4 linked regions of the Lepisosteus oculatus genome follow. The protein of the gene in region 4 purifies or fractionates together with the protein of the main gene of each other region. This does not show direct contact. Links are inferred from orthologs where the notes say so. Each region holds a gene or a part of one and is shown on either strand. Other genes may lie near its edges.

Evidence for each region.
Region 1: the proteins of ncbp3 (region 4) and alyref purify together in Homo sapiens (affinity purification with mass spectrometry; 4 studies listed by BioGRID and IntAct, with this or other methods). This does not show direct contact. The link is inferred for Lepisosteus oculatus from reciprocal best matches to the Homo sapiens genes NCBP3 and ALYREF.
Region 2: the proteins of ncbp3 (region 4) and thoc1 purify together in Homo sapiens (co-immunoprecipitation; 4 studies listed by BioGRID and IntAct, with this or other methods). This does not show direct contact. The link is inferred for Lepisosteus oculatus from reciprocal best matches to the Homo sapiens genes NCBP3 and THOC1.
Region 3: the proteins of ncbp3 (region 4) and thoc6 purify together in Homo sapiens (co-immunoprecipitation; 3 studies listed by BioGRID and IntAct, with this or other methods). This does not show direct contact. The link is inferred for Lepisosteus oculatus from reciprocal best matches to the Homo sapiens genes NCBP3 and THOC6.

The regions. Positions count from the first base shown.
Region 1 is NC_090704.1:47,020,017-47,027,505, forward strand, and holds the start of alyref (THO complex subunit 4), read left to right. Parts: upstream 1-4,478; 5' UTR 4,479-4,603; coding exon 4,604-4,855; intron 4,856-6,551; coding exon 6,552-6,692; intron 6,693-7,298; coding exon 7,299-7,446; intron 7,447-7,489. Other genes in the region: anapc11 (anaphase-promoting complex subunit 11), read right to left, coding at 390-535, 722-842. UniProt on the Homo sapiens protein: Functions as an mRNA export adapter; component of the transcription/export (TREX) complex which is thought to couple mRNA transcription, processing and nuclear export, and specifically associates with spliced mRNA and not with unspliced pre-mRNA.
Region 2 is NC_090701.1:57,196,627-57,203,724, reverse strand, and holds the start of thoc1 (THO complex subunit 1), read right to left. Parts: upstream 3,007-7,098; 5' UTR 2,938-3,006; coding exon 2,890-2,937; intron 2,313-2,889; coding exon 2,239-2,312; intron 2,081-2,238; coding exon 2,020-2,080; intron 1,361-2,019; coding exon 1,291-1,360; intron 454-1,290; coding exon 335-453; intron 1-334. UniProt on the Homo sapiens protein: Component of the THO subcomplex of the TREX complex which is thought to couple mRNA transcription, processing and nuclear export, and which specifically associates with spliced mRNA and not with unspliced pre-mRNA.
Region 3 is NC_090699.1:5,871,387-5,878,668, reverse strand, and holds the start of thoc6 (THO complex subunit 6 homolog), read right to left. Parts: upstream 3,008-7,282; 5' UTR 2,864-3,007; coding exon 2,849-2,863; intron 730-2,848; coding exon 638-729; intron 1-637. Other genes in the region: srrm2 (serine/arginine repetitive matrix protein 2), read right to left, coding at 5,025-5,073, 5,611-5,721, 7,176-7,282. UniProt on the Homo sapiens protein: Component of the THO subcomplex of the TREX complex which is thought to couple mRNA transcription, processing and nuclear export, and which specifically associates with spliced mRNA and not with unspliced pre-mRNA.
Region 4 is NC_090721.1:10,765,907-10,773,380, forward strand, and holds the start of ncbp3 (nuclear cap-binding protein subunit 3), read right to left. Parts: upstream 3,010-7,474; 5' UTR 2,963-3,009; coding exon 2,780-2,962; intron 2,198-2,779; coding exon 2,132-2,197; intron 1,368-2,131; coding exon 1,262-1,367; intron 1-1,261. UniProt on the Homo sapiens protein: Associates with NCBP1/CBP80 to form an alternative cap-binding complex (CBC) which plays a key role in mRNA export. NCBP3 serves as adapter protein linking the capped RNAs (m7GpppG-capped RNA) to NCBP1/CBP80.

The sequences.
Region 1 (7,489 bases), on a different chromosome or scaffold from region 4:
CTGTTTATTGTAATGCTGCAGAGCCTGCCGCCCAGGGCTCAACAGATGTTCCAGGAGAGCAGGCGACGAATAAAAAAATACACAATGCTAAACATTAAAAAAAAAACATATCACAAAATATACAAGTGTTTTTTTTCCCCCTCAGTGAAACCAGGACATTGCCTGGGACCAGTCACAGTGGAGTCTCCCTCTCTGCCCTCTGCTGCAGGACGCCTCTGGCTGAACTGCCCCACCCTCCTGCACAGAGGTCAGCAACACGGGGAGGCTTTCTTCCAGGTCTGGGCCTTCTTGGCAGGCGGGTAAACTACACAGTTAACAGTCACTCGAGCAAGCAAAGAGCACGCCGGGCAGACGTCCTGTCGCGGCCGGGACCGCCCGGCAGCCCCTCCTCACTCCTTGAACTTCCACTCCTGGCGGCACATGGGGCACTGCTGCTGCACCTGCTGGGAGTTCAGCCACTTGAGGATGCAGTGCATGTGGAAGCAGTGGGAGCACTGGCCCCACACCAGAGGGCAGTCGTCTCCGGGCACCTTGCCTGGGAACAGACGGAGACGGTCGTGAGCAGAGCGCCCCCTGCTGCTCAGGCTCAAGCACACTTCCCTGCGCTTGACGCGAACGCGGGACGTGGGCCCACAATCCACTGCTCCACAGTCCTGGCCATCCCCCTCCCCTTACAGAGCCTTGAATTCGCACACCCCCCCTCCCCGCCGGCCGGACTCACAGTCAGGGCAGCAGCCGTTGAAGGACATCCTGCAGATGCCACAGTTCTCGTCATTGGCGACCCACAGCCAGGAGGCGACGCCATTCCACTGCTTTATCTTCACCTTCAGCCCCCGCTCCATGGCGCTCTCTGCAGGACACAAGGCACCACTACAGCTGGGTGGGCACTACAGCTCAACAGCTGTCCTGCTGCAGAAGCAGATGGCTCCACAGGCTGCTGCACTGTGCAGGTTAGCTGGGCTGCTCTGCTCCCTCACACAGCAGAGCTTTAAAGAGCTGCACTACTACAAATTGCACTGCCCATGAACCAGAAAGGCAAGATCACATTAATTTTGTGCCAATCTATCCCTGGAAGATCCAGAGACGAGAGCCTGCAGCTCCTAACACCTGTAGTGGATCTGCAGGCTGTGCAGTGAAAGTCTCCGGTTTCCCTGCTGCTTCAGTGCAGGTGGGGCAGCCGACTGTAAAGCTCCATCCACAGGTCTCGCTTGTGAGCTCAAATCTCAGCACATGCTAACGACTAGCACCTCACCAGAAGGATAGGAACGACGCTGTGACAAAGGCTAAACAGCACAAAATAAAGCTTACCCAGTTAATCTAATTAGACAGCACGTACTGTAGCTAGGATATATGTGACCTGGCACAGGAAGGGATTTTAAAGCTGAGTTTACAATGATAGACTTTAAAGCATTTCCTCTGCAGCCTACGCCTGTAGAAAGTATATTAAATTCAGCATCGGCTTGTGAACGGGACATACTGTGAATACGCCTCACTCTTCACCCCTTCATCAGAAACCGCGGCGTTAAATCTGCCCTGCGGACACAATAACGAAACACTAACATTAATGACTAATTAACAGACGTTACTCTAAACGTCTGACCGATGTTGTTGTCACGTGTCTCAAGAAATGGCCGTTTGGCTTCTGTCAAAGTGAGATCGAGCTCAGTTGCAGAAGCTGCCCGGAGAACCGAAGCGGGACCTGGCTCCGGCCCTGAGCTCCTTTCCGACCTCGGGGGCGACGGAGCCCCTCAGCCCGCTCTCCTAGTGCAGAAGCGCCGTCCACTTCTGTCCCTGCGAACGGATGAACTGGTCGGGGCGACACATTATTATTTAGACCGCTCCGTCTGCTACACAGTGTATCTTAACTGTCCAATAACACAAGAAACTTCACTGTTCAGACTTGACTATGTTACGCACATCATCTCAGGCAAAAGCGTCCGCTAGGCAGCTATATCAAATGAGAGAATAGTTAAAAACTGAACACCGCACAGTACCTGCACGACTCCCGTAACCCCTCTCAATTGATCAGGCCTGAACAGACCGCAACTCTTTCCGTTGATCCTCAACTCTGCGATCGTCTAACGCGACTTTGACCACATTTAAAAAGCTTGTCGTCGGAATACCGCCGCCTGGAGGCCTGGCGTGACGTTTACAGTGAAACACGAGACAGCGGCAGGAGTGGAAGCTAATTTGAAGTCCAATTGGAAGTAAAACAGAGACCAGCAGCCACTGCTAGTAGAGTAGTAGTAGTGGAGGAGTTTATATTCGTGGTGGTCATTCAGGACATACACAGTACAACAGACAACACCACCTACCTAGATGTACACCTACCACACAATGCAGGCAGTACATCACACACATAATAAATAATAACAACAGGAACAATAAATATGTTATGGAGAACAATAAATATGTAGTAGTGGAAAAAAACATGGTAGACCATGCAGAAAGTGCAGATAAGTGCATTGAGTCTGAGGCCCTGCAGTGAGCTGCTGTTGAGGATGCACACTGCAGTGGGATAGAAGCTGTTCCTGAGTCTAGTGGTCCTTGCTTTAGCAGCGGCACCGCTGGCCAGAGCGCAGGGGCCGGGATGGGTGGGATCCTGGATGAGGGATTGGGCTTCACTGTGACAGCAGACGGTGTGAATCCCACCGATTGATGGTCAGTCACATCCTGTGATACCCTGTGCCGTTGCCACAAGCCTCTGTAGTGGGTCTCTGTGATGCGCAGACTTCTCCCACCTCCTCTTCTTTCCTGAAGGGATGGTGGGAGTGTGGAACACGCTGATGCCCTGGTTTCTTAAAAAAAACAAACTGGATCAATTAACTACCAGACGCACTAGATGGGCTCCTCCACAGCTTGTTACTGTTCTTACAGTCTAACTGGCCTTTGTGCCCTTTTGTAGCGACATACACACAACACATCACAACACAGGACGCCACATCACCACACACAACACACACACAATACATCACAACACACACAACACACCGCATCACCACACATCACAACACAGGAACACACATCACAACACAGGACACCACATCACCACACACACAACACACACAATACAAGACACCGTATCACCACACATCACAACACAGGACAACACACACAACACAGAGCAACACTCGACAACATATCACAACACAGGACAACACATCACCACACATCATAACACATCTCAACACAGGACAACACATCGCCACACATCACAACACATCACAACACAGGTCAACAGGCGAACAAGACACAGAGAGAAGATACAGCTCTTGGGATCACACCACAGAGCACAGATTACAAAACAAATCCTTATCATGTGAAACAGCGACATGTATGAAATACTGAGCTTTTGTTGGACATTTGAAAAGAGATAGAATTGAGTAAATATAATAACTTATTTTAAAGAGTCCTAATTGATGTTTTTGAGTAAACATAAGTCCGTTATGATGCCCGTGCTCAAAGTGAGGACGAAGCAGGCTGAGTTTTCCACTGTGGAGTCTCAATATTGTATTTTCTGAACTGCGGAGGAATGTGGCAGGCAGCAGCAGGAGTGTGCTGTGTGCCCCAGCAGAGTGATCTGCAGCTTGTTGCTCTCTGGACTAGAGAGCATTCTGCCTAGAGCAGATACTGATGGGCGCCAGGGGGACCGAGACGCTCTGACGAAATATTCCACATCTCCTAAGCATGAATAGGGTCAAACGCCTCTCAGTCACTTAATTGTGTCAATGTACTGAGTTTGATGGCTGTGTTTGGAGTAATTGCCATGTCTGTGTTCTTTTAACTTCATTTGCTGCTTGCGGATTATTCCAGTGTACCTTATTATTGTATCCTCCACTGCAGCAGTCCTGTCTCTGTCAGCCTCCCTCACTCTCAGCCCTCTCTCGCACTAATAATAATAATAATAATTAATAATATAGTGCTTTTCTGGACACTCCACTCAAAGCACTTAAGAGGTAATGGGGACTCCCCTCCACCAGCACCAGTGTGCAGCCCCACCTGGATGATGCGACGGCAGCCATAGTGCTCCAGAACGCTCACCACACACCAGCTCTCAGTGGGGAGGAGAACAGTGTAATGAGGCCAATTCACAGATGGGGATTATTAGGGGGCCATGATTGGTAAGGGCCAATGGGAAATTTGGCCAGGACGCCGGGGTTACACCCCTACTCTTTTCAAGAAATGCCCTTGGATTTTTAATGACCACAGAGAGTCAGGACCTCGGTTTTACATCTCGTCCAAAGTATGTGTTGTATTGCATTGCAACCACCTGTGAACACTGCTAATATTGTCTTGTTTTTTTTAAATATGTCCGTTATGGACTGGAGCGCTGCCGGTCTCTAACAGGGAATACAGCACATACAGTACAGACTCCGAAAACTACAGCTCCCAGCAGGCTAAGCCATTCCACTGAGTGCGCAGGCGTCAACCCCGCCCTGCATGACGTCTGTGTCCGACGCCAGCCGCAGCGTCTTAAAAGGCGGCCATTGTGTTTTCTCCTCACCACTTCGTGCTCGGGTATCAGCGGGGGCGAGTTGCAGAGTAGGGATAGTGCGTGCGAGTTCGTTTGTCTCTATTGATAGGCTTAGTTCGGCGACTCGAAATGGTCGATAAGATGGATATGTCCTTGGACGACATCATCAAACAGAACCGGCAGCAGCGGGGCGGTGGCGGGGCCCGTGGCGGCAGGGGAGGCCGGGGCCGGGGAGCGCCCGGCGGGGGCCGAGGCGCCGGGGCCGGCCGGCTCGGTGGCGGAGGCGGCGGCGGCGGCTTTGGGGGTCGCGGCGGAGCAGGCCCCGTGCGGACCCGACAGAGCCTGAGCAGAGGCAGAAGCAGACCCACGCCGTACAGCAGGGTAGGAGAAAAGAAAGAGATGGGGAGAGAGAAAGAGGAAAAATGGAAAAGCGTGGCGCCCGAAAATGCCCGGGTCTGCGGAGCTTGTGCGTTTAATATCCTAACGTGCTAATAGAGCTGTTACTCACTGGAGTGTCTCTGGAGAAACAAAAATGGCTATATTTATTGCTAGATGTCCAATTTACCCGATTCACTTTCCTTTTTAAGGAAGAAAATAATTAAAATGCCTAATGTTTTCCTTTCTCCCCCAACCTCTTTAACCTTTCGTGTTTAACCTAGTTGAAAAGCGGGCGTTATCAGGAGACATGTTTGGTTTTTTTTTTTCGGGCTGCTATGCCGCCCGGGAGCGGAGAGCTCAAGTCTAAATTTGTTCGAGTGTCTAGAAAGAGCAAAACGCCATTTTTAACGGCCACGAAGACGCGGTGCAGCCGCCGGCGAGGACGGGAGGCCGGCGGCGGCGGAGGAGGGAGCGGAGCGCTGCGGAATGAATGAGCCGGCTTTGTGTGCGCCCGGCCGGGCTGTCCGGCCAGGAGGCGGCCCCCCGGAGCTCCGGGCTCCAGCCCCCCGCCGAGCAGCGCTGGCAGAGGCGGGGGAGGCTGTGGAAGGACACTGATCGGCCGGAGTTAGCCGCCGACTACACTGCGGTGGCCGTGCACCCGCAAGGGGTCTCCGCTTAGCTGATCAAGACAAAATGGCGCAGCTACAAAATGGACGCTCTCTGCAGGCAGGGCTCCGAGGCCTCGGACCGCAGCTGCAGCTGCCCTGCGGCGACTCTTCCACACGGGGACTCTGTTCCACTAGAGAGCCGCCTTTCTGCAGAAACACGATCGCGGGGGATCCACGGACTTGATCCTGCGGCGGGGCGGCGGACTCTCCGGGCCTCAGGACCGCAGGCGGAGGACAGGCTCGGCGAGGGGGGTGGAGAGGCGCCGCTGCACGGATTGGCCCCCTTTTCAACACCTGCGGCTGGAGTCTGAGGGACCCTCGGCCGGGGCGGCGGCGGGCTGGGACCTGCCCCCGGCGGGCGGGTTACCGGGACACTCGGTTTCAGAGGCGGGAGGTCGGATTGGCAAGGGGGCAGTGAAGGGGTAGGACCCGGCGCTGAGCCGACGGCGAGCACCTCCGGTGTGCTGGTGCCTTTTCCGGCCTTGTTCCCTTTTAAAGCTGTGATCAGTGCGCACCTGCACTGTAACCTTCCCGTTTCTCCAGGGTAGCGCAGTTTCAGCCATTGCTCCTGAGTCTAGTGTAGCTGCCTCGTTAGGTTTTAAACAGCATTGAATGCATTTCTTGAGCAGAATGTTCATTTTACCCACAAGGCTCTGTTGGGGGGGGTTATGTGGCTTCTCTTTTGGGGGGTGCACCTAGTGTTTGACCTTTGGGGGGGGTTCACAGTGATACTTTTATTTGGATCAGCTCCCGGAGGCAAGTTGTCTGCGGCCAGCTGGTGCTCCTGTCTGGTCTTGGGGGCTTTCCTGGTGGGGCAGGCGGAACCAGCCCAGATTGCTGCCTGACCGGGCTCCCCTCCTGGTGTGGGCCACGGTGGTGCGACTGGGTTCCTCTGGCTGCTGTTCCTCTCGGGAGCCGGCGTTAGCTGTGGGGTGTCTGCTGGCCTTCCTCTCGGAGAGCGGGGTCCTGGCGGCCTGGCGCAGCGTGCCGACTGGGAAGTCAGCAGGTGCGTTCTGTTTGCTCTCTTGCAGCCCAAGCAGCTCCCGGACAAGTGGCAGCACGACCTGTTCGACAGTGGCTTCGGCGCGGGCGGCGGCGGCGCCGGCGTGGAGACCGGAGGCAAGCTCCTCGTCTCCAACCTGGACTTCGGGGTCTCGGATGCAGATATCCAGGTGAGTGCTGACTCTGCGCGGGGGTGTCCTGGTTTGGACTGCGTGTAGCTCGCGTAGTGGCTGCATGTGGCTCTGGGATAACTGCAGTTCCTAAACTGGGTCTCGCCTCTCATTCAGGAGAAACACAGCACTGTAGCCCTTTCACTCAACAGCTCCGAGGCAGGGGTGTGCAGTCCTGGTCCTGGAGGGTTTGTTCAGAGCCCCCCAACCTCAAGGGGTCACAGAAGTTACACTGGTCCTATTGTGCCAGTGATTGAACTGTGCTGGGTTCATAACCTGCAGTTGCTGAGGTGACCCTTTTCCAAGGTGAAGCACATTTCCATGAGGGGGGGGTCCAGGCTCTCACCCGCAGGCTTCGGTGTGATTTCCAGAGGCAGGTGTTCCTGTTGCAGTGAGAGTGCTAGCATACAGATTAAGACACCTGCTCCTAGCCTTTTGGTTTGCTTTTGAGAAGCTAGATCGGTGCCTTTTCCTGTGTCTATCATTAGCCTACAGCTGTTGTGCCCATGGGGTAGCAGGGTGGAGTTGAGCCTGCGCGCCTCTCGTGTGGTGGGTGGGTTGGGCTTGTTGGCGAGCGCACAGACCTGATGGTGCCCTGTGTTCCAGGAGCTGTTCGCGGAGTTTGGCACGCTGAAGAAGGCTGCGGTGCATTATGACCGGTCGGGTCGCAGCCTGGGCACGGCGGACGTGCACTTCGAGAGGAAGGCCGATGCGCTCAAGGCCATGAAGCAGTATAATGGCGTTCCACTGGATGGTGAGTCTGTCCCCTGTTGTCCTCATTTTGGAATTAGGATTTT
Region 2 (7,098 bases), on a different chromosome or scaffold from region 4:
CAGCAGAAAAAGCCGCTTTAACCCAATATTCAACAGGCGATATTTCTTCCCAATACCCTACAAAAACATGACATTTTAATGCTATATTGACACTCTACTAACTTTAGAATATTACACTCATGGGAGAATGATTTTGATCTCTCAGTATTTACCCCTGTGTAAGCATTACCACGGGCAGCGACTGTGACCTGTTAAGTGTTTCGGCAAACAGATGAATTTTCTCATTTCTGACTTTCCTCATAGAGACAGAAGGTTTCAGAAGCGGAGCAAAGAGTCACCTCTGTGCTTTCAAAATAGCTCGTGCTGTGGACCGCACTTGGCAAGCTGTACTTACGGATTTCCACGTTGAAACATTTTCTTCAACAAAAGTGAAGATTTTATCGCACTGGTCCAGTGGAAGACAGTCCAGTACATCTCCCAGCAGCAGGAAAGGAGTTGTTGCCGAGCAAATACCTTCGATTACAGGGGGGACACAGAAGGCAAGGCTGACACTGAAGCTCATCTGGCACCCCGAGTGTCAGAAGGATCATTTTAAATTCCATCAGTCCAGCCATTTATTAAACGCTTGATCCAAATCAAGATCACAGGGGAGCCAAAGCCTATCCTGGCAAACAACGGGTGCAAGGCAGGGTACACCCTGGATGGGACGCCAGTCCAGCGAAGGGAAGAGACAGACATGCACAGATTCACACCAGGAGCAGTTTTCCCCAAGATGCCAATTACCCTGCCAAGAAGTCTTTGGACTGTGGGAAGAAACCAGAGAAACCCATCCAAACACAGGGAGAACATACAAACTCCACACAGACAGCACCCCAGGTGTGGAATTGAACCCAGGGCCCCAGCGCTGTGAGGCAGCCATGCTGGCCACTGCGGTACTGCGCCATCCTTGTTTTGTCATTTGAAGCTGACAAATTGAACCATCAACCTCAAACCACATGGTACAAGAAGACAAATCACGACAAATGCGACAAATCACACATAACATCAGGCTGAGAATTGAGACCTGTTCTACATCCTCAAAAAATAAATGCTCCCACTTAATCCCAAAATAATGACTAAGAACCAGTTACTGACGTTTGAAATGAATTTACCGGTGTAGGTCAAGAGTAAAGTAAATCTTATCCAGTTACATAATGGCACTTTTACAAAGTCGAGGTAGTACTTTTCTCATCAAATGCAAAGAACAGCCATCAAAACTGTTTACTGATCAAAATGTCCAGTGTCCTGTGAGGCTTTCACCTGCTATTCAGTCTTTAAATGAAACCTGTCATGATCTTCCTAATAACTCACCTTCTGTAACTCCATCAATGCTGAGATAGATAAGAGCCAGGAAGTCTTCACAGCTAGCTTTTCGTTTTATCTGCAAAAGAACGGCAGTTTAATTCCACTGACAAATCCCCAGTTGCTGGAATGACGCTCCCTGCGTGTACCCAGCTTTGTGATGTGGGGACAATGCACCCAAGGTGTGGTAGATGTGGATCATGTATTTCAAGGATCTAAATATGACACTTCTGTAAATATATATCAAAGCTAAGAAAGAGGTGTTATTAAGACCAGTAGGACCCATCCGTGTGGGTCCTAATGCCCCCGTATAGTAATGGGGACACTAAACTGTAAAAAGGCACCGTCCTTCAAATAAGACATAAAACCGAGGTGCTGACTCTCTGTGGGCATTAAAAATCCCAGGGTGTTTCTCAAAAAGAGTAGGGGTGTTACCCCTGTGTCCTGGTCAAATTTTCCCCAGGCCTTTACAAATCATTGCCTCCTAATAATCCCCCTCTCTGAACTGGCTCCATCACTCTGCTCTCCTCCCCACTGAGAGCTGGTGTGTGGGGAGCGGACTGGCGCATCATCCAGGTGGGGCTGCACACTGGTGGGGGTGGAGAGGATTACCCGTAAAGCACTTTGAGTGGAGTGTCCAGAAAAGTTCCATAGGAGTTAAAGGATTTACAGTAATTAAAATGCCATTAAACACAAGCAGAACTTCTGTTGTTTAAGACAATCTTTATGACGACTTACAATTTCTCCCTCGAGAACCCAGCGCAGAGCCTGGTCAAGTGTGGTTTTCTTCTCTGTCTCACTAACAGGTCAAACAGAAGAGGAAGCAATTTATTCATCATGCACTTTAAATACAGGTTTTATGCCAAGCACCGTTTTCACATTGCTGCTGAACACCCTATAGAAAAACCACGACAGCCCCTTAGACGTTCTTGTCAAGCTGTGGGAAAATGCACTTACTTTCCAGGGAGCTGATTAAATGTGTTGATTAAGGGCTTGACAGTTTTGCTGTCCAAGGTACTTCTGATTGTACTCTATTGGAAAAAAAACAACAACAAAGAATAAATTAAAAACACAGGTTCACAAAAGACATTGGCCATATGATCTTAAGTCACTCCACATTTGGATTGCTTTTGAGAGTTTAGTTTAGCACAGCAAAACATAGCACGTGCTATGGTGTTTTAGGAGGATAATCCTTTAAAAGCAAGACCAGAGGCACATGCTCTAGCTTATTTTACGATACAACATACGTCTGGACAGCAATGCTTTGAATGCCTCGCCGGAGACTCTTCAAACACGCCCCACAGTGGTTTCAGTCACCTCCCGAGACGGGAATTTACGCCATAGCCGACAGGACCTTCACAAGCAAAGCTGTTTTCCGCTTGTACTAGCCTGACTTGACCAAGAACGGATAAATTGGCAAATTCCTTTGGTATTTCAATCACGTTCATTTAAACTCTTCACGTACATCCTCCACCGCAGAAGACGAGAGCCGCAGTACGCAACACAAAAGCCTTCCCCTACACACGGGTTGCACGTTAAAATCCCTTTTGTTCTCGTCCCGAGCCACGGTTTCATCAACTCTGCAACTGCACTAACACAGTTTCTTACCGCAAATCTCTCTTTGGCATCATTAAAGTTAAACACGGACGGCGACATCTTCTCGGGAGCCTGCTACAACCCCGCTTCCGTCAGTGAGCAAAACAAACCGGAAACCAGTGACAAAAAAAGGCCATAGAGATCCTCTAACGGATGGCTAGAGTTCCTGTCGTCGGATTTGTACGTAGCTTTGTGGCGCCATCTTGGGAGGGAGGAAGTAAATGTTTCACACTTTCGGTGAGTGTGTGTGCACTGTAATGGAGCCTATGATAACAAAGATAAGAGGAAAGATCAGGAAAACGTCCGTTTATTCATTTATTTCGATTATTATCACCGTAATTGTTTTTAAAAAATGGCGACAAGAGTTTGTTTAATGCACAAAAATGCACTTTAGTTAATTTCAGTGAAATAAACTAAACGAAATGACAAACTGATCTAAACAAATGAAACAGTATGTACTGTACAGACTGCTTTATGTAATATTATTGTAATATACACACGCAATAAACGTAATTCTAAGAATCCTTTGTAACCTACTGGAAGGTACGAGTATTCCAAACATTGCTTAAATAATCATTCGTTGTTTGTCGCGTCTTTCGTCGACGATCTTAAAATCCAGTTGCTGAGGGAGACACCCTACTTTTTTCAAGAAACTGCTGTTTGGATGCCGGATGAGATTCCCACATGACTCTCTACTACCACCCAAACGTGATAAATACATCGAATGGGACACCGTCCTCCAGCTTCTAACCTTCCTCCTGTTTTATATTTTTCATTATATATTTATTTATTATATATATATTTTAGTTTTATATTTTTTATTTTAAAAACTATCACTCTGCACGTCTAGTGTAGGATACTGCGAGGCTACATACAGATGCACGAAAAGTTTTATTTTTGTTGTTGCTGTACTACATTCAATACTGAATATTTGTCATTTATTAACATTTCTGCACGTTGCCAGAAAGCTGAAAAGATTTACTTTTCGGCTATGGATCTTCTTCAAGTGGGTTCACAGCTGAAACGTTGTGTTTCTTCTCTTTTCAGCAGGAATAAACCTTTACTTGTTCCTCTGCAGCCTACGCACGCTAACGATTCCACAGTGTGACTTTTTATCCTCGAACTATTCCACGATTGTGTTCTCCAGTATCCTGTCTAGGACACTACCCACACAAACCTGTGAATGTAGGAGGCAGTGTTTGACCTAGAGGTGGCCTGTAGAGTTGAGAAAATATTTAGCTGAAATATATGATGACAGTTATTTTTAGCTCTTTCTGTTTGTCCATTAAAACCACAAAACCATAAAGTAGACTGACGGCCTTTGAAATTTGCTTTGAAAGCAGCCTGATGACCACCAGTGGCTTAAAAACACCAGTTCTTCTGTGCACCCTTTTATTAAAAGACCTTGAAAAGAAAGTTACCCCTGAGCAGCTAAAGAAATAACGGCAGAGGGTGGAGTGGAGGTTAGCGCCACCATCTTACAGTACCGGGGTCTCAGTTTCAATTCCAGCTGTGTGTATCTGTCTGTGTGGAGCTTGCAAGTCCAAGTGCGATTTCTCTGAATGTGCGTGACACATGGAACACTCTTCTCCTGTGTTTAGCTTGTCTGATAGTTCAACTTTAATAACTTGGGGCGGAGCGGTGGCTCTGTGGCTCAGGATCTCCGCTTGTGGCTGGGAGGTTGCCGGTTCAAATCCTGCAGCCGGCAGAGGAATCCTACTCTGTTGGGCCCCTGAGCAAGGCCCTTCACCCCAGCTGCTCCAGGGGCCCTGTACAATGGCTGACCCTGCACTCTGACCCCCAGCTTCTCTCCCTGTCTGTGTGTCTCATGGAGAGCAAACTGGGGTATGCGAAAAGACAAATTCCTAATGCAAGAAATTGTAAAGGGTTAATAAAGTAATGTAAAAAAAAAAACTGAGGGCACATGGAATGCAAACCTTTTTGTGTTAGAGGGTTGAAGTTGGCCAGTGAGCGAGTCTGCTCTGACCTCCCGTTGAAGAATGTCTGCTATAACAAAAAACAAACAAACGGAGATTGCTACCTTGGGTCTGCATGACACAGAAAACCTGTGTGGGACATTTCATTTTTGTATTCTGGATAGTGATACAGCTGATCAGTACCTTTGATAAATGCCCCAAAAAGGCCGGCTTCAGTTCTGGCACAGTTCTGTCATCTAGTACATGACAAGCACTCCTGGAGCCTGGTGACAATCCAAATCGTTCACTCAAATATGCTTTCATACCAGTTCGTATTCTCCCCAAAAAAACAACAATAAAAAAAATCATGAGATATTTTTCCCTTTTTATTTCAATTCTTTACTTAACCAGATAAATGAAAGGACAAGAAAGTTCTCCATTAAAACAATGACCTTAAAAATTACACATTTACTGGATCACAGAATTCCAAAAAGGATTTGAACCCACAACCCTCTGGTCTTTGTGTCAAAGCCCTAAACACAAGTCCATGCTGCTGCTTCAGTGGTAATATTAAGAGCATCCGAATTCCTATTTGTAGTTTCTTTTCAGGAATGCAACTTGAGTATATTATTTCTGGGACAGGGATGAACAAACTGACTGCTTTGTTTATAGAAAGCAGGCAAAGTGCAAGAAGCAGACTGATGAAGTTCACAGAGTGGTGTATTCCTGAGGTGTACAACGTGTGGCTTAAGCATTGCTTCAGCTGTGCGTAGTCCTCAGTCATCTGTGCCCTCAGATTCTGCATCCTTGTCCCCATAATCTCACACGGGAGGTGTCCCTCACAGAGATGATGATGCTGTTCTAAGTGCTGACCAGCTTCCTCCACAGATCCAGAAGTCTGACCATCGTGTTTACTAGGAAGAAAAGGCACAGCAGTCCACATGTGTCTGATCAGTGCCCGCTCTGAGTAATCCTTGAAGGAGTGGATTCTGTTAGTGGGGCAAAACCTTGTGGGTCACTGTCGGGCAATGGACACAGTGTGGAGGTGGGCATCATCCTGTTACAGTACACGAACTGGGCCATCATTGATATGAAGGGAATGATGAGGTTTGAATGCTGTGCGATTCATGAAAACTGGCTGCCAAGAGGCGTTTACAAATGTAGGATCCTTGTCATGCATCTTTTGTTTTGGGACAGTGAAATGTCCCAAATGTATTATCTGAAATTAACCGAATTTCAATTCAATGATATTGAATATTTAAGTAAAATATACAGTATAGGTTTTTCAGAGAGAAAATCTATTGCTGTTGTATTTTCTATTTGTGTTATATTCATTTTCCACAGTTCCATCAGAAGATCAGCGGTGGTACTATTTGAGCATTGTTGACTACAGTAAACTCGTGTCATTGGTGGTGCTTTTGTAAAGGGAGACCAACCCTTCACAGCTTCTTTCTGGAGTTTTATTCAACAACACCAATACGGTTATTTAAAATGTTCGTTCATACTGTTGAACAAATTAAAGTATTTTTGTTTTAATCCCTATTCCTCCAAATTTATTTTTATCTCGATATGAAGTCACAGTTTTCTTGTTTCTTGTACTTCCCAGGCTGCATATCAATATAGCAAAAAAAAAAACTTTATCCGAGGATTTTATTTTGAAGTACAAAACAGCAAATCTGAAGAGAGTTAAAGAAGTGTTTATTAAGGCACAACTTTGTGCTTTCTGAGATACACAGGAACATGTAAAGCAGTATGGCAAGATTGTGATATCAAAGTAGGATTAGAAAGGTTTAACTGCTACATGACCAGTGTAACACACACATATCACCAGATTCTCAGTGCTCCACTGCTATCATAAACCAGTTAAAAAGGTCTGTTCTAAAATATTTAGAAAGGTATGCTACCCTCAGCCTGCAAGCAGACTTGAAATAACCAAAGTTACAAAGAAAAGATCTAACTGAAGTAATAAGGTTCGCATTGATCTTTTTTTCTTTTTTATCCTGCGCGTTTTAATTCACACTAAAACAATTCTGGTGTTTCGCACCGGCTATATAATAACATCAAATCCACAGTAAACAGATCAGCACGAAAATGCACATTTTGAAGGACAAACATCCCATCTGTTATAAATACCAAACCTTTACTCATCTTTCTACAGTACAATATAAAATAGAAAACGTGGTTACAGTGAGACCTCCAGAGAACATTTAAAAAAACTGTTGTTCCAAATGCAACACTACCGGGACACTATTCATTTTTGTTCTTCGTGAAACATTTATCTGCATAATTAATAAAAAAAACACTG
Region 3 (7,282 bases), on a different chromosome or scaffold from region 4:
GGGGTTAGCGAGAGGCGCAGAGACTAGGAGACACAGTGGGAGCAGGTCAGGTTAGTGAGAGGAGCAGAGACTAGGAGACACAGTGGGAGCAGGTCAGGTTAGTGAGAGGCGCAGAGACTAGGAGACACAGTGGGAGCAGGTCAGGTTAGCGAGAGGCGCAGAGACTAGGAGACACAGCAGGAGAGAGAGGGGTTAGCGAGAGAGGAGCAGAGACTAGGAGACACAGTGGGAGCGGGACAGGTTAGTGAGAGGCGCAGAGACTAGGAGACACAGTGGGAGCAGGTCAGGTTAGTGAGAGGCGCAGAGACTAGGAGACACAGTGGGCGCAGGTCAGGTTAGTGAGAGGCGCAGAGACTAGGAGACAGTGGGAGCAGGTCAGGTATTGAGAGGCGCAGAGACTAGGAGACACAGCGGGAGTGGGTCAGGTTAGCGAGAGAGGAACAGAGACTAGGAGACACAGCGGGAGCGAGAGGGGTTTGTGAGAGAGGAGCAGAGACTAGGAGACACAGTGGGAGCGAGAGGGGTTTGTGAGAGAGGAGCAGAGACTAGGAGACACAGTGGGAGCAGGTCAGGTTAGTGAGAGGAGCAGAGACTAGGAGACAGCGGGAGCAGAGGGCACCGCAGTTCCCTGTCTCACCTGAAGATGGCGATCTCGCCGTAGTTGTTTCCAGCCGCGAGGAACCGACTGCAAGGCGAGAAGCTCTGAGAGAAGACGGACATGTGCAGGAGCTGCAACACAACAACACAACCCTGGGTCACAGCACAGCACAATGACAGTGTAACACAACACAGCAACACAGCCCTGTGTCACAACACTGCTCAAAAACACAGTGTGACACAACACAGCACAATGACAGTGTAACACAACACAGCAACACAGCCCTGTGTCACAACACTGCTCAAAAACACAGTGTGATGCAACACAGCACAATGACAGTGTAACACAACACAGCAACACAGCCCTCTGTCACAACACTGCTCAAAAACACCCCTGTGTAACAGCACCATTACAATGTAACTCGGCACATCAACACAACCCTGTATCACAACACAGCTGAAAGACACAGTGTGATCCAACAGAACCCTGTATCACAACACAGCTGAAAGACACGGTGTGACGCAACACAACAACACAACCCTGTGTCACAGCACAGCACAATGACAGTGTAACTCAACACATCAACACAACCCTGTGTCACAACAATGCACAATGACACAGTATAACACCAAAACATCACACAACATTGTGACAATATAATAAAGATAAGAATAATCTGCTTCGAGAAGGCCCTGTCATCTGCAGACTGTGGGAACAGACAGTGAGCCCCTCTCAATAACAGACAAGCTTGAGGACAGGAGACCAGAGTTAGACGAGCAAATGGTCTGGTTGTGAGGTGGCGAGCAGGAAAATAAGTCGGACAGCTACTGAGGTGCCAAGCCATGCAGAGCCTCAAAGGTGAGCATGGGGATTTTGAGATGGACACGAAACCCGATAGGAAGCCAGTGCAGGGACTCCAGGACAGGAGTAATGGGATCACTTGCACTAGACCTGGACAGGATCTGGCCTGTCGAATTCTGAACAGACTGGAGTCTGTTCAGTGTGGGTTTAGATACCCCAGCAAGGAAGGCGTTGCAGTGATCAATTTGAAAGAAACATAAAAAAAAGTCCTGGCCAAGTTTTCAGCAACAGTTATCAGGAACATTGGACCGTAGCCTGGCAATACTTGGTGGAAGAATGAGATTTGTTTTACAATATGTTGCACGTGTGGGTCAAACGCCAAGCCTGGATCAAATATCACCACCACGTTCTCCGGTTTAGACTGAAATTCCAGCGCACAAATTCAAGGGCCTTCCTGCAGTTAGGGTCACTGCACTGGCTGCACAGTACACTGTTGAAGGGAGGTGCAGAGAAGCATGACTACAGGTCTGTCACTGTTTCAATTAAGAAAATCCAGGATGTTATGTCAGAGATGCAATTAGACAGTACAGAGACAGTCACTTCAGTGCCAGGTTTATCATGGATACAGATTTATGCATCATCGGCGTACCAGTGATTGTTTACACCGTGTGATCTCAATAGCTGACCAAGTGGGAACAGGTAAATGCTGAAGAGGAGGGGACCCAGTATCGAGCCCTGAGGAACACCAGACTTCACAAACCCAAATTCAAGACTGAAACCAGCAAAAGAGGTAGTGTAATAGGGGAGTTTGACTTCAGCAGTCTGTTTGACCTTAGCAGTAAAAGTCAGTAAGAGCCCAGGCTGGAGTGAAGACCAGGAGACACAGTGTTCCTCCTGGATCAGGACTGAAATAAAGTCAGGAAGAGCACAGGAGTGCTCTGGTCTAATCTGACTATTAACGTTGTGGACCACAGTAAGAAAAGAGGAAAGAGAAGGGCGCTACACCGTGGACACGTTCAGAGGGGAGCTGCCACACTGTGGGTTATAAAACACGGGACACTCTCCCGTGGGGTTTGTCACGACCCTAGAAGTCGACCACCCTCCATCAACGGGGCTGTGTGTTGGTGTTTTGGGGAGAGGCTGTGGATTTATGTCCGGAGACACGGGTGGAAAACAGAAACTCGGATAAAACACGGCACCTCCAGCTCGGAGCCCCCGGCTGCTGTCGCGCCGTTACTTCTGAACACAAAGGCTCAGACAGTAACCCCTGTTTGTGTAAAAGCCCCAGAGACCGGATTACATACTGGAAATATTTTTTTCTAGAACTGAAAATGTCCTGTGCTACATCCCCCGGGGCTTTTACACAAAGGCACCCCCGAAATCCTGCGACACACGCAACGTGAGAGCGCGCTTCATACACACAGAGACACGAAAAGGACGGGCCATCACCTCGACCGGTCCCATGTTTCCTCTTGTTTTAGACGCGGCGTCCAATCTGGCGAGAAAAGTGAAACTTGCACACAAGCCAGACTCGTCAGCCCCAGGTCTGCACAGCCCAACACTCTCCCTCTCGGAAAGGGACACGGGCGGCGCAGGGCAGTGACGTCACAGGACCCCCCCCCCCGCTTTCGTGGCATGACGGGAATTGTAGTTTCACGGCTTTGAAACGCGACCGTTGTTCCCTTTCCGCTAACAAAAAAAAACACGCATGCATGCACAGGATAAGAAACTACTCTCCCTGTAGCTGCAAGAGATTGGCACAACCCTTGTTGCGGTTGGCGCAGTCACATTTTTTGAACAGACAGGATATAGGTGCATGAATTCATTTTGTTTATATAACGATATAGATGTGATCTGGTGATGTATCTTTATTTGACATTTTCCATGATACAGGATCTCCAAGATTCGTAATGCTGAGGTGATGAATCTGTAATGATCAATTGACACAAATGTTTTTGGTTATTGTCTGTCAATTTCAATACTTTTTTTTACACAAAGGGGGGTGGGAGAGTGGAAAAAGCTACCCAGTTATATTGTTGAAGCCAATATCCTGGCTTCTCTCGAGACATAGTTCAGATCCTGGGATTAATAAACTACAAAATGTTCTCCTCTCTATCTCTTTAGTTGCTGTTGTTTTTAAAAACATACATCCATTAACATAACTGATTCGTATGCTCTGTAGATATACATACTGTACAAACCCATTTGTGCTTCTGAACCACTGAATCTAAACCACCGGACCAGCTGTCCTCCCGGTGTAACAAGACTGGACCAGAACCACCGGACCAGCTGTCCTCCCACTGTAACAAGACTGGACCAGAACCACCGGACCAGCTGTCCTTCTGGTCTAACAAGACTGGACCAGAACCACTGGACCAGCTGTCCTCCTGGTCTAAAAAGACTGGACCTGAACCACTGGACCAGCTGTCCTCCTGGTCTAAAAAGACTGGACCTGAACCACTGGACCAGCTGTCCTCCTGGTGTAACAAGACTGGACCAGAACCACTGGACTAGCTGTCCTCCCACTGTAAAAAGACGGGTCCAAAACCGGACCAGCTGTCCTTCCACTGTAACAAGACTGGACCTGAACCACTGGACCAGCTGTCCTCCTGGACTAGAAGACTGGACCTGAACCACCGGACCAGCGGTCCTTCCACTGTAACAAGACTGGACCAGAACCACCGGACCAGCTGTCCTCCTGGTGTAACAGGACTGGACCAGAACCACCGGACCAGCTGTCCTCCTGGTGTAACAGGACTGGACCAGAACCACCGGACCAGCTGTCCTCCTGGTGTAACAAGACTGAAAACACACACACGCCAGAAACAGAAAACTCCAAAGAACTGCCGGATTTTTTTTTCTTTTTTGATTTTATTATTTCACAAAAAAAACAGCTTTTAAAGAATGTTTTGTATTCACAAACAGTGTCATCTTGCCCTGCGCCCCCCCTCCCCCCCAAAAATAATTCACAGATCAAGACCCAGTACGGCGTGGGCACGCACATCCGAAGCCCGCGTCAACGCCGCCTGCACACCGCGCTCTCTCCACCTTCCCCAGAACAAACAAAACGAAAAGGGAACCATTTCCGTCCTCCAAAAACAGCACAAAAGTCACAATCGGATATCGGCCTCTCCTCCTGGTGGGTCTCTCTCTCTCTCGCTCTTCTCTTCCTTTCGTCGTCTTTCCCAAACTCCAGTGTCAGCATCTCAGTCCTCCATCTTGGAACAGTGTCCTTGTACCACTCCCCTCGCCTCCCCCCCCCCCCGAGCAACCCAGAGTGGGACGGCCCACGAGCATCTTGCAGACTAGGTCCTGGGCTGTACCACCACAGAGTTGGGGGGGGCGGGGGGGAGTTGGGAGAGGGAGTCCGGGTGTCGACACCTGCGAACAAGAAAGAAAAGGCTCTGGTCAAACCCGACAGGCCAGTCTCCCGCGCTGTCCTCCCCCCTCCTCCCCCGCTCATCTCACGGCTCGGTGAGAAGACGTGGGGACGGTGCGCCCCCTTTCCGATCGGAACGGCCCTCCTGCCAGGGGTACGACTGGCGAGAACCGGGGAAAAAAACGCTTTCCGAGTGGGACTCCGCCTGGCCAACCACAGGAATTGCTTACCTTCCCGCCCGGCACCTTATTTCCTGCGTTTCTTGCTGGGTGACCGGCTGTCTGACCTCTGACCCCTGCGGGCAGACAGGAGAGAGAGAGAGAGAGAGAGAGAGAGAGAGAGAGAGAGAGAGAGAGAGAGAGAGTCAGGGTTCATCCTGCAGACGCACACACAACAGGACAGCCCTGGCTGACAAGCACACGCTGGGGCCCGGACTCTGTCCCGCCAAGCCCGGGCTGCTTCTGTGCCTCCCCCCGGCATGACGGGAGAAGATCCGCTTGTCCAGGCGGCTGCCCCTCACACCGAGCGAGGGGTACGCTCTCCCCTACCTCCACCCCCAGCGCTAAAGGAAAGGTGCAGCTGCGGGGTTTACGGGGGCCTACGATACCACCCCCCCCTCCCCCCAGGCCAGGGGCCACAAAGGCACGCTTCTCCCACCCTGCCGGAACGGAGCGACCCCAGACGTGTCCGAGTCACCACATCCGACTGATCCGGACGCACGCAGAAACAGCCCATCGCCAGGAGGCCCCGAGCGGGCCCGGCCACAGTCCAGCGCCGGCGAGAGCGTGTTTGTGTCCCCCCCGAGGGCCCCCTGCGGGACCGGGTCGCTCACCTGTGAGGGGGGGGTGAGGACGGCGCCGGCCTGCGCTGTCGGAGCGGCGGGGAGTAGCTGGGAGAGCGGGAGTCCCGCAGGGAATCGGCCGGCTCCCTGGGCCGGGGAGGACTGGGGGAGAGAGGGAGAGAACCACCGTGAACAAATCCATATCGCGATAATTTCCCACAGTTACCCCGATAACGATAAATGGAACGAGCATTTTTCCTGAAACCCTTGAAATACGATATGATATGCTGGAAGACCCCATTTTAAATATGCGAAACTATGAAACTTAGTAAACGTCAGGCACCACAGTTTGAGAAAAATGTGTTCTCGAGGGCACAACGCATCTCTACGCATCGGGGGCTTGAACGAGTCTTTCAAACCACTGCAGCTATGGGAAGCATGTCCTTCGCTGTGCAGTGTGTAATGGCGTTCGTTATCGCGTCACGCCTGCGTGAATCTTTCGCGCATCGAGTGGCATGAGTAAACGCTCGTGTTAAGAGAGGAATCCCTTCGGCCATGAGTGCGCTTGACAGTCTCTCTCGTTTTTTGGCCATGCGCCGTATTCGTATCCCACGACATGGCTGCGTTTAAAGCGATGAAACCAGTTGCTCGTGTTACTTGTGGGCGCAGAAACGGTTCTCCCGACAAGAGCTCACATCCGACTTCTCTCTGTTCGGCATCCGGTTCGCTGAAGCCAACACACGACCTAACGATCGACACTGCATCTGTCTGAGCTACCAGCTCGTCTTCCTTCGTGCTCGAGTCCTCCCTGCCCGACGGGGGTTCAGCACGAGCGCTCCCGTCGTCTCACGCCCGGCTCGCTGCTTTGGGTTTTGAATGAAGAACGCGGGTTGGACAAGGCAGAAGCCTGTGACTGGATCTGACGACTGGGGACCGCTGATGAAAACCGCACAGTGGGGAAAGCTTTCATCCCGACATAAGCAAAATAAGGTCGGCGAGAGATTCTTAACATCGGTATCGATACGTTTTCGATATGTATTGCCCAGCCCTAGTGCCAGGCCAGCGAGAAGACGGCGGAGCTGGTCTGAGGGCACTCGGACGCTCTCTCTCCAAATGATACCGGCAGGAAACCCCCTCTTTTAACAGGCGTCGGATTGCACGGACAAAAACCCACTGAAGAGGGATTCTGTCTGAAAAACCCAACACCGGACTCTCCCCTCAGTAAGGAAGGAAAGCACAGACAATAAAAAGCAGAAAGAACTACTACACGGGACTCCAAAAATCAAGAATATCAATTGATCAAAATCAAGATATCAATATCGGGGCAGTACAAGGTCAACTGCTTACGATGGGTGGAGTATGTGCTTTGGATGTTGAAGAAAATTTTATACGGATATTAACGATACACGCAATAAAGAGCCTGTATATTTCAATAAACCGCCACAGGAACAAAGTTTCGCTCGCCGTGTGTTGATTGCAAGTATTTTTTGTCATAATTCAAAAGATGCAAAAAATGATATAGAGCACACATTTTCTCAAATGACAGTGCTCCTGGGCAGAAACACTACTGGTTCGACACTGGCAGTAACAGACACCCCCCTGCTCCTGCTCATTACCACTTCGCAGAGTCTGCAGCGGGAGAGTCCTCGCTCCCGGAGGAGGATGAGTCGGAGGAGGAGGAGGAGGAGTCGGAGGAGGAAGAGGAGGAGCCCGAGGCCTTCCC
Region 4 (7,474 bases):
AAACATCTCAGCAGACGGTTGTAATTCTCTGCCTGAAGGCTGAAGACCCTCAACTCACTAGGCTTTTTACTGCTGGCCACTCTCTGCAGTGCCTTCTTGTCTGCGTCTCTCATGAATTGTTAAAATTCTTTCTGCGACGCTTAAGGTTTCACGCAGCACTGGTCCCTTAGCTCAATCCAGGCTACCGCATCCTTAAGGCTCCACATGCAGGAATATCCCAAGGGTGGATTTAAAAAAAACTTTTGGTGGCAGCTCTTTTAGGTTGTGGGCTCCCCGTTTATGCCGTTCCCCTCCTGCGTGTATCAAACTGTCTTCCCATCATTCTTTTGTCTGAGCAGAGACTACAATCTCTGCCTTTGTGAAACGCATCCAGTGCCGGATTTCCCATCAGGCTCTGTAGGCACAGTGCCCAGGGCCTAGGAAGGAGGGAAACACTAGTGACTAACAAAAACCGAGCTGAAACAACGTGCTTGCGATCGACTCCAGATGCTCCAAATCAATAATCATGCGCTCTCTAGCAACTGCTCTAGAAACTAGAAGTATGGAAGTGATGGGCGCTCGGCTTGCTTCATCAATCAGGTGGTTTAGCACTAGAACAGTTTAAAGTGCATCGTGTCAACTGGCGTTCAACCCTCTTTTTGCACATTTCAGAGTGAAAGTGCCCAGGGCCTACGGACACCACAATCCGGCACTGAATGCATCAGTCAGTTCTTTCCTAAGGGTGCTGTCGTTTCAGTTACTAGAACTTCTGCTCCTCGTAGTGGGCTTCTACACAAACTGTACCCTATTGGTTAACCCTGCTTTCTTCATCTACATACTTTCACACTGTTACCCTTTTAAAAGAAAGAAGGAACGGTGGGCTTTATTTACACGAATGGGGAGGACTGTATTTCTAAGGCAGCAGCTAAGCCGGTGAAGCGGTGCAGTGGCTCTGTGGCTCAGGATCTGCGCCTGTGGCTGGAAGGTTGCCGGTTCAAATCTCGCGACCGGCAGAGGAATCCTACTCGGATGGGCCCCTGCGCAAGGTCCTTAACCCTTGCTGCTCCAGGGGCGCTGTATAAATGGCTGACCCTGCGCTCTGACCCCAAGCTTCTCTCCCTGTCTGTGTGTCTTATGGAGAGCAAGCTGGGGTATGTGAAGACAAATTCCTGATACAAGCAATTGTATATGACCAATGAAGTGATCTGATCTGATCTAAACTGTGAGCAGTAACACACTAGCGCGCTGCAGCCAGCACACAGAGCCCAGCTGAAGGACTCACCCTTCCTCATCCTGTCCCGGTCCAGCACCACGTTCCTCTGGGCCAGGTTGACCTCGGCGCGGAAGTGGAACCGCCGGGCCCGCTGTTCCTTCTTCTCTACGGCCTCCTGCGAGAGATTGGAACACCATGTTACGCAATCCCTGCGCCACAGCCGCAGCCAGGAGGGGAGGGGCGGGACACGTCTGGGCTCAAGGACTCTGAACCACGAGCGGACCAAGCGCTCTGGACAGGGAGGGAGCCCATTCAGACTCGGGGCTACAGGACTGATTAATTAATAATAATAATAATTGCTTACACTTATATAGCGCTTTTCTGGACACTCCACTCAAAGAGCTTTACAGGTAATGGGGATCCCCTCCACCTCCACCAGTGTGCAGCCCCACCTGGATGATGCACCAGTCCTCTCCCCACACACCAGCTCTCAATGGGGAGGAGAGCAGAGTGATGAAACCAGTTCAGAGAGGGGGATTATTAGGAGGCCATGATGGGTAAAGCCCAGGGGGAAATTTGGCCAGGACACTGGGGTTAACCAGGATGTTGACTGTTTCATTAATACTTGGAGCTCTGAGACGTAAGACCAGGGACCAGCGATGTCTTCTAACTGCTTCAACCAGTTCAGGGGAGCTGGAGTCTATCCCAGCAAGGCTTAAGGCAGGATACGCCCTGGACAGGACTCCAGTCCATCGCAGGGCAATCACACACACACACTCTATCCGAGGTAACTCATACAAACTCCACATAGACCGCACCCCGGGTCGGGGACGGATCCCAGGGCCCCAGCGCTGCGAGGCAGTAATACTGACCACAGCGCCGCCAGACCAGGGAGCAGGAAACAGACGCAGGGCACGGAAAGAGCAAGGATGCCCGTACCTTTGAGGTGACATCGATTCCCGTGATAAAGGTCCCAGCTTTGTTCTCGTAGCGCCGGCTGGTGTCCTGTTGAGAAACGTCAGCCCTGAGTTCAACACGACAAAACCCAACCCGACCCTCCAAAAGGCAGTTTACAAAACAGGAAAGGCGGGATGGAGCTTTTCGACAGTACGATAAAGGGGAATAAGCAATGTAAAGTTCAATATTTTGAAATAGACCCAACCCACTCCGACGCAACCCCTAGTCATAAAGGTAAGGTACCAGCACCTCATCGCTCTGAGACACCGATTATAAACACATTTGGGAAAAAGATTCCATCCCGTGGCCATTTCTGGAAAGGCTGTGCTTCAGACTCGATCTGCTCCTAAAGCTTCAAGTACTCTGACAAAACTGAAACTACACGATAATCCCTGAGCCCAGTTAAAAGGACCTGATCTCATTAACACTCCTATTTACAAAACATTCGAGACACCAATACCACAATTTTAACTGCTCCTTTCACAGAAAAAAAGCAAAACCAGCAGGACAACATTGTCATTAAGCAGTTGTTACCACCGATTCTTGGAACGTTGTAACCCCCCTGGTCAGCCACGCCAGCCCGGCCTTGCTCTCTACTGGGGACCGAGGTCGTGGCGCGGCCTTACTTACCGGTAACAGCTCCTTCAGTGACCGGCGGACCGGAATGGACTCCAGTTCCAGTTCACCTTCTTCTACCTCCATTGGCTCCGGTTCGCGGGAATCCCGGTCCGAGTCGGATTCAGAATCTGACTCTGAGCGATCGGACCCAGCTTCTGACTTCACCGAGACCTGCAAGCTTCGGACGGCCGCCATCTTCCCTTCGCCTCAGCCCAAACAGAGCGGCCGCACCAACGACAGCGGGAAGGGGGAGAGAGCGGCACCTTCGGCACAGCGCGTCGCCGCAGCGACACTGCCACCCAGCGGCGGCGCCGGGGACTGGCGGCAGCACGGCGGAGCCCTCGACCCATTTACAAACTGCGAACCGGGAAACTGAAGGAGTGTAGTTTAGTGGTACGAACAGAAAGAATACTCTTAATACAAGATTTAACAACAGTGACAGGGCACATATATGAATTCCAATCCTAGAATGAATGATTACGCCTTTAAGTAACTGAGCCAACAGCAATCTGAACAGTGACTCACAAAGCGCCGGCCGTCTGTTCTAACTGTAACTCGCCATCTTCATTTCTGTGATGTGTTGTCTTTATGAAATTCGTGTATTTTAAGCGTTTAATTAAGAAGTAAAAACCGTACGGCGTACACAAAGATTCTGGCTGATCACGAGGAAGCAAAATCACCCGTTTTTCGCGCATAAAAAGTGGTTATTAACTATCGAAACCTGTTTTTATAGGTTTTAAAGTAGTGCAATGTTAAGGAACGCATCATTATATCTAATTTTTTATTTATTTTCTAAAAATTTAAAAAATCGTTTGCCCAGCCTGGATTATATTGCTTTTCTTTCTGTTGTGTGCTTGAACGCCAGAAGGAGTCCAGGCGGCGTAACTTAATTTTCTGCCTATCTCTTTCCGCTGGGCTTTTATAATTTTAACTCTAGTTAGCTTTCTCTTTGTTTCCCAAATTCCCCACATTCAGAATCCGAAGGAAAACCAAACTCCCACAAACGGGCAGACTAGAAGCGGCCTGGCGCAGTGTCCAGTGTCCGGTGTCCAGTGTCCAGTGTCCGGTGTCCAGTGTCCGGCGTCGCGCCAGCACGAGGTGTCAAGTCGAGGGGTGAAGGGGCGCGTGTCTCGGGCCACAGAGCAGTGTGCTCGCGCGACGGCAGCGGTGCTGTGTGGTGGTCCCCCGCGTGACTCGGGCCCTGGTTCGCGAGTGTGCGTGGATGGGGCTCGGACAGGGATGTCGAGGCGAGCAGAGCGTGAACTCCAGCTCCGGCTGGAAGGGAGCCGGCAACATCCCTTCCTGGGGTAAAAGCCTTCCGCAGCCCACGCCACGCGTGAACGCGAGGAAGGTCTCCCCTTTTTGTCCGGACTGTAGGTCAAGGCGGACCGCGACGGTACCGGTCCGCCCTGAGCGTCACAGTCACAGCCGGCGTTTCGTTTCAGAAAAGCCTCTGCGCTCCCGAGCGCGTCCACAAGGTGGCGCCGCTCGCCCACGTGTGTTTTCTCACGTTCCTCGAATTCGGCGTCTCCCTGTAGGTTTTCATTGTGTCCCGTGAGAGTAACCCGCGGGACAGTCGTGCTGTCGCCGTGTGAAGGGGCCTGATTTTGGCGTTTGTGGAGAACCTTTCAGCAACATGATACAGACAGCAGGGCCCTGATCATGTTCCTCATTTTTCATTCTGGAGGCATTTCAGCACCAGGACTGGACAGCCTGCTCCAGGTTTTCACTACCCGGTTTGCGCTTCACTCCAGATGGTGGAGAATCCCTCCCTCTGGACCTCAGGGGAGAGTGGGGATGGAATTGGGAAACAGGCCACCTCCTGCTCAGGCAATTCAGCTGTTCACAGAGGCTCAGTCTGCAATACACAGACAGCAGCCGTATCACCCTGCCACTCCCAACTGGCAAACCCACTGGAGCTCAGCAGGTGTGAGCCTGGCCAGTACCTGGACGGGAGACCTCCTGGGAAAAACTGAGGTTGCTGCTGGAAGAGGTGTTAGTGGGGCCAGCAGGGGGCACTCACCCTGCGGTCCATGTGGGTCCTAATGCCCCAGTATAGTGACGGGGACACTGTACTGTAAACAGGCGCCGTTCTTCGGAGGAGATGTAAAACTGAGGTCCTGACTCTCTGTGGTCATTTAAAATCCCAGGGTGTCTCTCAAAAAAGACTAGAGGTGTAACCCTGGTGTCCTGGCCAAAATTCCCCCTGGCCCTTACCAATCATGGCCTCCTAATAATCCCCATCTCTGAACTGGCTTCATCACTCTGCTCTCCTCCCCACTGAGAGCTGGTGTGTGGGGAGAGGACTGGCGCACTATGGCTGCTATGGGCGGTGGGGAGGAGGCTCAGGTTGTGATCATCATTTAGCGCTGCTGACAGGCAGTGAAAGCGCTGGACTTCTAAAGGGTGCTCCGCCCGATTTTCCACTCCGTCAGAAGAAACCTGTGCCTCCTGTGACCCAGCGCGTCAGTTTACAGCGTGCTGCCGGAGGGGCAGCTGAGTGACCCCCGTCTCCGGCTGGCCTCCCCCTGCCCACAGCCAGCGGCCCCACCCCCCCTTCCCGAGCTCGTGAATTTCCCAGAAACCCGCCTGCCCTCCAGGCTCACCCCTTGTGCACCCGCCAGCTGGGATCGGGTCTCTGGGAGCTGCTGGGTGTGGATCATGGATACTGGTGTCTGATACCCCAGTGGCACAGCACTCCCCCGGGCCTCTGTGTCACCTGTGGTCACATGTGTAACATGATCAGCTCCAGCCTCCCCAGAAGAAGCATATCACACAGCTCCCCGGCCGTGTGTGCGTGGGCAGCACTGGGGGAGATACTGTGTCCCCTGGCCCCAGTGCCCTATAAGGCTCTTCCTGATTTAATGGCAGCTGGAGAGAGTCCAGCACCCCCTTCCGCAAAGTCTGAGTGACACAGGCACATGTCATGGCTGACAAACCCTGACCTCTGAGGACACCCAGCCCTGCTCTGGTGCTGCCGTGATGGTGAGTGCTGATAACGCCCAGCTCCCTCTCCGGATGTCCTTGTAGAACTAGCAGACACCTCGAGATGCTTCGCCTGTGGTCCAGACTCTTTATTTCTGTAGCCCTATTATCTTGGTTACTGGTGAAGGGTCAAGTGATCCAAATGGAAGGCACTTCAAATGTCTGAAAAGGGGATCCAGCTCAGGCCCCATGAGCCTTAAGTCCCCATGTCAGGACAGGGCAGTAGGATCTCTGGGGACTGAGCTGTGGCATCTGTGGCAAACCAGTTACAGCAACTCAATCTCACGTTAACAAGCTGATGGATCGTCATTCGCTTATCCATACGGTAGAAATCACGTCCGTGAGTTTCCTGTAGGCGTCTCAAAACTGCTCTCAGAGGAGCAACGGCGTCGGTTCAGAGTACTTGCAAGAGCAATTGTGTGAAAATGAACTTTTTAACTTTTTAAACTTTTGAACTTTTTTCTTGTGAATTGACCTTAAAGAGAGCGAGTAGCGTTTAAAGGTTTTATGTGTTACTACTGTTTACAGTATCTGAACTGGGAGGGTCTCCTTGGGCCTTGATTTGAGGTCCAATTCAAGACAGATCAGGTGACATTTATTATGTTTCTCATAATGTACATCCTCATGAATGTTAATATAACTGTAAGAAAATTTACTTATGGAAACAAATTGTTAGAAATGTTGTTCAAAGCTGAGCAAAAAAAAAAAGAAAAGGACCCGTTGGGGAATTGAACTATTAAGTTGTAGACAGTCAAACCTGTATTGCACTTTTTTCACAATTTTCAAAAGACATTTTCTTACATATCCTGTGTTTTAAATATGAAGCTATGTTTTGTGTATCTGTAGTGTCATAGGTTAGCATTTGGCAGCTGTTATTTTTATGCACTGCCTGGCTTGCCTGTAATTGTGCTGTGCTTGCCTGCAGGCTCTGTTCTGACCCAGGTACAGCAGTGAGCGCTGCTCAGCTGCAAGCTCCATAACCAGCAACGCAGGAGTCCCGAGTTCAACATCAGCCCCTACAGCTGGGGGCTTTTTTTTGCAAAGGAAAATAAAACAAAACTTTCAAACAGCGCAGAACTGTCCCAGGAGGCAATTTTGAGGCGGGTCAGAGAACAGAAATTCGGGAGGATGGGTTTGACAAGGGCTCTGTTGCCAGGGAAGGAACAGCGACTCCACACCCCGCGATTCACACAAGTCCAGGGGTCCCCTAGTGCCACAGAGATTGTCCAGGGGTCTCCTAGGGCCCTCAAAGACTGTCCAGGGGTCCTCTAGGGCCTCTGAGAGTGTCCAGGGGTCCCCAAGAGACAACCTCTGTGGCCCTCTGGGACCGCCGGACAGTCTCTGCACAACACTTACAGGCTTTGTTTAACTGGAGGGTCCTCTGGGAGAGACGTCAGACAGTATTGACATGTTTCTGTCAGGTCTCTGGGATATCTTCTTAGCTGTGCTCTCCAGCTCCTCTGTTGTGTCCAGGCAAAGATCTTCTCATCTCAGGGCTTAGTTGCCTCCACCGACTCCAAGCTCCCCTGTCTCGTGAGTTGCATTTCCTGGCTATAAATATCTTATTTGACTCAATATTGCTTTGTCCTCAGAGAGCGCCCAGGGCTGCAAGCTCTGTGTTCAGAGGGGTGGCCTGTAATATACCTCGCAATGCTCCTGAGATAGGAGTGCGCCGTGTTTTCTGAGAATTATGACAGAGCCGATGCTTTTGGGGCTGCAGCT